Arabidopsis thaliana: one gene and its partner. The protein of the gene in region 1 interacts with the protein of each later gene in a pairwise test. Each region holds a gene or a part of one and is shown on either strand. Other genes may lie near its edges.

What was found. The genes of interacting proteins can lie anywhere in the genome.
Region 2: the proteins of AT1G55460 (region 1) and AT4G00980 interact in a two-hybrid assay, tested with the Arabidopsis thaliana proteins (one large-scale study listed by BioGRID).

What each region holds. Positions count from the first base shown.
Region 1 is NC_003070.9:20,705,531-20,709,530, reverse strand, and holds AT1G55460 (DNA/RNA-binding protein Kin17, conserved region), read right to left. Parts: upstream 2,225-4,000; 5' UTR 1,965-2,224; coding exon 729-1,964; 3' UTR 504-728; downstream 1-503. Other genes in the region: AT1G55450 (S-adenosyl-L-methionine-dependent methyltransferases superfamily protein), read left to right, coding at 2,706-2,882, 3,297-3,923. UniProt on the Arabidopsis thaliana protein: Promotes the copper deficiency response by direct interaction with SPL7. Acts with SPL7 in a common pathway to promote copper-responsive genes and alleviate oxidative stress during copper-limiting periods. May promote SPL7 function when copper is limiting.
Region 2 is NC_003075.7:421,920-426,467, forward strand, and holds AT4G00980 (zinc knuckle (CCHC-type) family protein), read right to left. Parts: upstream 2,670-4,548; 5' UTR 2,662-2,669; coding exon 2,338-2,661; intron 2,221-2,337; coding exon 2,130-2,220; intron 2,016-2,129; coding exon 1,925-2,015; intron 1,774-1,924; coding exon 813-1,773; 3' UTR 559-812; downstream 1-558.

The DNA of each region.
Region 1 (4,000 bases):
GAAAGCACATCGGTTCCTGAATGGCTTTCTCTAGCGGAGAGTTTATTACCGATTACTTAAATAAAATAGTGTTTGTGGGGGGGAAAAAAAATTAGTCTCCTACATTTATTGAAATTTCTTTACTTAATTAGATCGCCAAATTTATGAACTTGTTTAGGTCAATAATTTCGATGGTAAAAACTAAAATCATAAGACAAAAGAAACTCAAACCTTTTTATATGATTTAACTTATAGAATAACTTGTTACATATGATATGTTTGTATGAAAGAAAGAAAAGAGAACCGAGAAAAATAAGAGAATGAAAAGATGAAAGAACAGAGAACAATTTCAAAGATATCTTATATAGTAGAGAAGTTAATGGATAACTTGGTTTTATTAAAATGTCGAATGCAACATTTCTAATATTCTAGTTAGGCTGCCTATGTGTTTAACTTCATGCCTTTCATGACATTTCATCTCAGTACTTGGAGTTTACTATTCAAGCTTCGTTTGCAAACGCACATTCAAAACATCATAAGATTTCTCGAAGATACTACACAGTAGCCATACATAAAACAATTCGTTCTACAAACCAGATCGAATAACATGTGTGAAATAGATTCATCTGCAGTACCTTTTTAACGCGGCTAGCTATCAGGAAACAGAGTGCTTCACTTGTATATAAAAAAAAGAGGTTCAAGCAGAAATACAAGGCATCGTAAAACCCGATATGGTCTAAAAGATATAACTAAGCAAGTTTGCATATGTCCTCGTACTCAATGGACTTGATGACTCTTCCATCATAGACACCTTTCTCGATCTGCACTTTAGCACAGAACTTCTCTGTATCCACACCCAACAACCTTGCATTCGAACCACGATATGCCCCATTCACTATCTTCACCATCCCTCCAATTTGTGGAAGCACAGTCTCTAGCTCCTTTTGATCAACTCTCAACACATGTTTAGAATCAAGCATTTTGATCTCCCCAACATAATTATCAATCACTTTCTTCACAACACCTTTTTGCTTATAATACCCTTTCTCTGCCAAAGCCTTACTCATCACCTTCACAATGATCCCTTCGAACAACCAGTAATCTTTCCGATTCATCCTCTCCTTCTTCTTCTCTTCCTCCTTCATCAACTCATCCAAAGCTGATCTCCTCTCCTTCTCGCTCCTCCCGGAGTCCCCACTTCTCTTCCTCTTCTCCCCTCTCTCAACCTTGTCATTCTCTTCATCCCCAAACAAAAGTTTCGAGCTTTCCCCTCTCTCTTTACCCGTAGCAACCTGTTTAACACCTCCACCAAGAGCAAATCCAACCTTGACCCCACTCTTCAACCTCAAGTCTTCATCTTTCTTCCTCTCATCATCACCATCATCCACAACTTCATCATTACCACTGGTTTCACCTTCACCACCACCACCATTCAATTTCTCAGCAGCTCTCTCAATCTGTCTCTGAATCTCCCTCTCTTGCTTCTCCTCCTCAGCTAAATCACTCTTAACTCTCTTATTCTTCAACCTCTCCTTAAACAAAGTCTCAGAATCTCTATCTATATAAGTAATAAACCAACCTTTAGGAGTTTCTTCAACCTTACACTTACCAGTTTTCCCAAGATGCTTGATAAACTCCGTCAACGTCGCCCACTCCGTCGAATTCATGTGAACATGATGTCTATCGTTAATATACTCATTGTAGACAACAGTGGCAGCGATACGAGAGAAACGGTGGCTCCGCCTCATCAGATCGAGAAACGTCTGCTCGAATTCTTCAGAGTAACCATCGACAACACGAGTCGGATTCTGCCCAAAAACTTGCATCTGCCTCTGGTGAGATTCGCTCATACAATGACACTTGAATCCATTCTCGTCTCGGCATTGTTTCTGACACATCTGACAATACCATCGAAGCTTTTGAAGTCCTTTGGCTTTAATTCGATTCGCAATCGCCTTTGGGGTTAGAAAATCGTTCTTACCCATCGAATCTTCTTGGGTTTGTCGAACAAAATTAAGGTGTTGGGAATTGAAATCTAGGGTTTCTCAGGTAACAACCACTGATCGAGAATGATGAAGATTCAATCGGCGAAGATTAGCTAATATATTGATTGATGATAAACCGAAACTCATACCAAATATAATTGTTTATCCTGAATACCGAATACGACCCATCAATTAAAGCCCATACAATACTGGGCCTATAAGAAAAGAAATGTAAATTGTGGGGAAAAAAAAAGGTAAATTTACAACTTTATAATATATGCCTCAAATAATTTTAACAGCTTGTTTGGTCTTATATCTTGTGATCTTTGACTTTCAGTCTTTCACAATGGAAATTATTGAATCTTGCATTTTTATTGAATTAATTTCCTATTTGTAACAGAATACTATTATTAGAGATATATTGATTGAGAATCGTAAAAGATAATGTAGTTGTGTGACAAGTGAGATTCAAGAAAAGTCAACTATATACAACGAGAGTAGCAAAAAAGAAATAAATTCAAATGATTTGGAAAATTGAAGAGGGGACCAATTCTTGGGGGTAAGGAGTAGACTCGTCGCCAGAGCTGACTTTGAAAACTTGACTTGGTCTCATTCTTCTCATCTACTGCAAAAACCACAATCAGTATATAACAACAACACATGAGTGACTTAATTCTCATAGACCAATACAGAGATACAAAGCAATAGAACAACAAGAACAAGAAAACAGAGAAAAAAACAATGGCTGCCTTGTCGGATAAGTTAGCGGATGCTTACCAGAACGCAAGGCCGAGATATCCGATCGATTGGTTCACGAAACTTGCTGCTCGAACCGGTCAGCACAAATCAGCTTGGGATGTTGGTACTGGCAACGGTCAAGCAGCTATTGGTGTAAGCTTCTTCCATCTTGTTCCAAAAGTTTCCACTTTCTTATGTACTCTGCTTCACTTAGATCTCTCAAACGATGTCGTTTTAATCCCTCTAGAAGAACACAATTATGGATTTATTAGCTTTAGTTGAGAGGAGAGAAGAAGATGAATGGCTTCTTTCTAATGAGTTTATGATTTAATTAGAGCATAGATTTATCTCAATCGATACTATTAACGTCTAATGTTAGTGATGATTATGAATGAAGTACCAATTATTAACATTTTCACATTTTGAGAACATGATTTCTCTTGTTTTATTTTGAGAAAATAAAAGTTACTAATCTACCTCATTTATAATTATTAAACAAAAAATTTGTTTGGTTCAAATTTGTAATGGTATTTGTCATTGTACTATTCACCTAAAATGTTAATCAACATTTACCATGGTTTAATTTAATTGCAGCTTGCAGAGTATTTCGAGAAAGTTACAGCAACCGACATAAACGAAGCACAGTTAAAACGAGCGGTAAAACACGAAAGAATCAGTTACCATCACACTCCCACAACAATGTCCGAAGACCAAATGGTTGCTCTAGTCGGCGGAGATAACTCCGTTGATCTAATCGTGGCAGCACAAGCCGTTCACTACTTCGATCTCGCACCATTCTACAACGTAGCAAAACGTGTTCTTCGCAAAGAAGGAGGATTAATCGCAGTTTTTGTCTACAACGACATAATCATCTCTCCTGAAGTTGATTCCATCATGAAACGTCTTGTGGACTCCACGTTCCCGTTTAGAACTCCTGTAATGAATCTTGCTTTCGACGGTTATAAAACGTTGCCGTTTCCGTTTGAAAGTATAGGGATGGGATCAGAAGGGAAGCCTATAATGCTTGACATTCCTCATAAGCTATCGCTTAAAGGGTTTATCGGTTTCTTGAGATCGTGGCAGCCCGCAATGAAAGCTAAAGAACGTGGAGTTGAGCTTGTGACTGAAGATTTGATCTCCAAATTTGAAGATGCTTGGGGTGATGATGATGATGTTAAAGATATTTTCTACAAAGCTCATATGATTGTTGGAAAACTTTCGGTAAATAATTCATTTACTTAATTAATATCTATATAGTTTTGGTATAAATGAATCATTCGTTATTTATATATAATGCA
Region 2 (4,548 bases), on another chromosome or scaffold:
CCCACATCGATAAGCTAGTGGAGAAACGTTTTCTTTATATATGGATACAAAGCATCAATGGTCACGACCTTACTTGAACTATAGGCTCGTACATCTGTTTTCTTGAGAAAATTTCTCAAGAGACAGGCCCTAAACCCTTGTTGATGAACCGTGACCGTGCGGCTTGAGCGTGATTGACGGCTACGATTGTCCTTGGATGCATCCGGTGCTGTAGAGGATGGTTACTCGGCTCGGTTCTCCCTTGCCGGGGTGGTCGCACGGCGGTCTGACAGGTTTCATTTTTTTTCCTTTTCACCCTGAAACTTTTAATTTCTTCTATTTTTCACCCGCTAATTTTATATTACTCTCCATCTGGTCCTTTTTAAAATTTCGACGTTCAAGTTTAATTTTAGAGGCTGAGAATATCTTCCATAACGCTTGGGACAAAGAAACTCTTAATTTTTGGTTGTGTGTTAAGTATTGTCACCTCAATTGATGTCAGTTTATTTGTTTGTATATCAGTTTTGAGGTTTCTGTTTTTATTTTGGTTCCTCAAAATAGGATTTAAAAAGCAATTTTGACAAAAAAATTATCATTCATAAAAGTATACTTTTACATTAAATCAGGCCAAAACTGATCTATTGGTCATCTCTCTGTTCTTCTTTTATACATTTCAGTGTCATAAATCTAATAGGCCAGACATATGGACAAGCTGAAAAAAGGTCATAAAAGGACTGCTTCTGAATCCTGAATCAACGGTATTCAAAAGACTTACCTCTTTAAGTATATCTGTGAAGAGATATAAACATTTTGGCTTCAGCAATCATCAACTACTACCCCCTATCATTGTTTGTTGTTGCTTGAGTCTCTGATTCCACAGGTGCAGCGACTGAGGAGTTGATCCGGTTTGATTTTCCGGAAGCTCTCTCATCAGATTTACTACCCCAGCAATGCTTTGCGAGATGTCCTTTCCTCCCACAGTTGTCACAGACGATGATGACTCTCTCGTCTCTCTCAGGTTCTTTCCTCTTCCAACCTACGCTCTGAGATCCTCTATGTGTTGTTCCTAGACTCGGTGTCCTTTCCATCTGAGAGGAGCCTGTGGCTGGTCTATATGTAACCCCTTTTGCTCCATTTCTGAGAAGCTCTTCCTCAGCTTTTACTCGTTCCATCAACATCCAGACTGGTAAATACTCCTCTTCCATTAACCTGGTGCAGAAGCCTCTCCAAGACGGGGGAAACTTGGAGATGATGGTACTCACATGAAATGCCTCATCAAGAAACATACCAGCACTCACTATGGAATCCGCAATCTTGTTAAAGACTTGGACTTGCTCGAGTATCGGTCTCTCTTCCACCATTCTGAATTCAATGTACTTTCTGACTTGTGACCTCTTCGATTTGGATTCATCACACTGGTAGACCCATTTTAACTCGTCCCACAATTCTTTGGCATGCTTAAATTTCTGAGAGTATCGACGGTATAGATGATCTGACAAGGAGTTCATCAAGTGAGTATAGCACAGGTAATCATCTCTCAACCATTTTTTCCCCGTAGCATCAGCTCGAGTTATTTCCCTGGGGTTGGTTTCAGGGCCTTGAGAGCTACCAATACTGGGACAAGGTTCAGAGAGTACATAAGTCAGCTTCAATTGCTTCAGAAAGAGTTCCATCTGTGAAGCCCAGTAAAGATAACTCTTTCCATCAAATCGTGAAATCTTGATAACAGAAAAACCGTGAGAGCTGTCCTTATCCACAGCCTCAGAAGTATCTCCATTTCGTGCTGCTTCAGATCTGCATAACGTTTAATAGCAAGATAAGCAGCCTACATTGCTAGCCAGACAGTAATGCCCTATGCCACGATGATTATATGACCATAAAACACTAAAAGCAATGCCAGGGAACATGAATCTTTATAGACTTAAAATAAGGTACACATTCTTACTTTAGTTTTGATTGGCACTGCTTAATACCGTCCTCTATCGCTGCAAAATTCTTCTTGATTACAGACCATTGGTTAGTTGACAAATGTGCTCCTGACAGAGAAGAAACATCTAACAATTGAAATCAACAGGAGCATATCTAAAACAAAAATGGCTACTTATAGCTTCATAGTCAAGACCAAGACACCAAGTTGTGTTTCAAATTACCTCTAAAAGCCTTTCCATGTTCCTGAGAACCAATCGATAGAAAAGGTTGGCCTCTGTATCTTTGAACCGTCGCATTTTGCTTCTCCGATAACTACAGTTAAAGACCAACAATTTCTACAGTGACCACTGAAAAACTCAAAATCGAGATGATCACAATCTCTACTCTATACAGTGAATCAAACATAGAACAAATAGGCAAAGTCGCAACCTTACAAATAAAGCGCTCATCTTCACCACCAACGGAAGCGGCAGCAACAGAAACTGTCTCATTTTTCGCCGGAGCCACCGTCTCCGGTACGAGTGCTTCACCGGGAGTCGATAGCAAAAAGACCTCAAGAACATCTCTGACTAGCTTCTTGTGATTGGTTCCCGATAAGTCGATACCGAGTTTAGCCGAAGCGTCAAGTCGGAGTTTGAACTCCGTCATTTGGTCCATATCAGATTCACTGAGTATGCTCTTCACTGTTTCCTCGATTTTTTGTGTAGCGACAATCTCCATAGTTTCACCAGAATCAAGCAACGAATTCTCCATTTCGCCCGAAAAAGAAGAAAAAAAAGGATAAAGAAAAAGATTTCGCAGTAGCGTCGAGTTTTGGTTGTTGGCCGGCGTTATATTTAGGGTTCATAAATCGCCGGGGGAAAAAATTTGGCCGGAGTGTGAAAAAAAGAGGTTCTACCGAGAATTGAACTCGGGTTACTGGATTCAGAGTCCAATGTCCTAACCGCTAGACCATAGAACCTTTTTGCTATAGCTGTTGCATTTAATACTTTATATATGCAAATATATATATATGAGTTTTTTTTCCTTATCTATATATCTTTTCTGTTTTATAATACGATATATGAATACATGGGTGAGATACGAATACGATTGAGAAATATATGGGTGAAATACAGTTTTTCTTCACGAAGCCGATAAGATACTAAGAGTCGAATCCTTCTAGAAACTAAACCGACAGAAAGCAAATTATTTTTGAAAATTAAGCTCAAACAAAAGAGGCTAAATATAAAGATAGCAAGGTAATAGTCATTAACATTTGTTGTGAATAATCTAGTTTGGGCTAATGTTAATCTTGTTTTACTTGTCTTCTCACTGCATTGCAGCTTAAGAAATTAGTATTGCATGCTGCGAGCTCAGACTCAGCCAGAGGGCTAACCCAACAGATTTTGATGCCTAAAACATCTTTAAGCTCATTTAAAATTCTTAAGCATTTTAAATCTATTTATAATTAAAGTCTCAAAAAAACGAAGGTAAGGTTCGAACTGTCCACGAAAGAGTCACTAATCTATGAAACAATCACTAGACTACGAAACATTTTTAAAATTTGATGCCCTTTAATATTATCTATAATTTTAGGCGCGTAAAGCATGAGTTTCACCAACTTTAGCCCAGGGCCGGCCCTGCTCAGCCATAAGAGAAGCAAAAGATGTAATGCAAAACTCCAATACGCAGTAATGATAACAAAAAAAAGTTTGTTCGTTAAAGCTTATCAATGCTTACAAAACATCAAAACCAACTTGACATGTGATGGCAGTAACAAAATCGAGAAGGCGATGCTAAAAGTAACTTCATAAACTAGATTGATCAAAAGTACTCATAGCTTCGGAATCAACATAAGACACCAAATATGTTCAAGTCACCTTTAAAAGCAAGTTAATAGCCAACAAACAATGTGCATTTCACATTTCGCTTCTCCAATAACTAATGCCTAACAATTTACAGAAAACATCACTTCTTTCCTCGACAATCCATTGTATTATTTTCGTGAAATGTCATCATAGAAGAAGCACTTAAAATGAAAATTGGGTTGGCCCATGAATTTGAATTCTCTAACCCAAGACCAAAACCCATAAAAGTTATTTACGACCATCGAACCACTTTTTTTTTTTTTTTTTTAACGGCAAACATTTTTCTATTAATTAGCCCAAATGGGCTTCATAAACAGGTACAACTTGAGGCCAAAAGCCCACTAATTGCAAACATTAAATAGACAATATGATGACACATGTATGCAATGTGGAGATTGCAGCGTAGATCAACGTTTCAGCACATGCCCCGTCACTGCTTCGCCGGAGAAATCTTCCGCCGGTCAGCAAATGATTCAGCTCCTCCATGAAACTTTCTACCCACATTTAGTTGTACCGAATGCCTTTTGCCAAGGATCACCGGAAATAGTCTATTGGAGTTAGTTTGGTCACCGGAAATTTAAACTTCAGCTGATTAGGATTAGAATATTCCTTGGAGGACCATTAAAACATGACGTGAACCCCAACTCGTCATACTCTTCTCCAATCAACCACAACACCTTGATCTATCATCCATGAAGAACCGATGCCCTTACGCTTTTATTAGCATAGCGAGGAATTTTCCTTCACATGGAAGAGTAATCAAGCATCCAATGAACACATTTCCATCTAA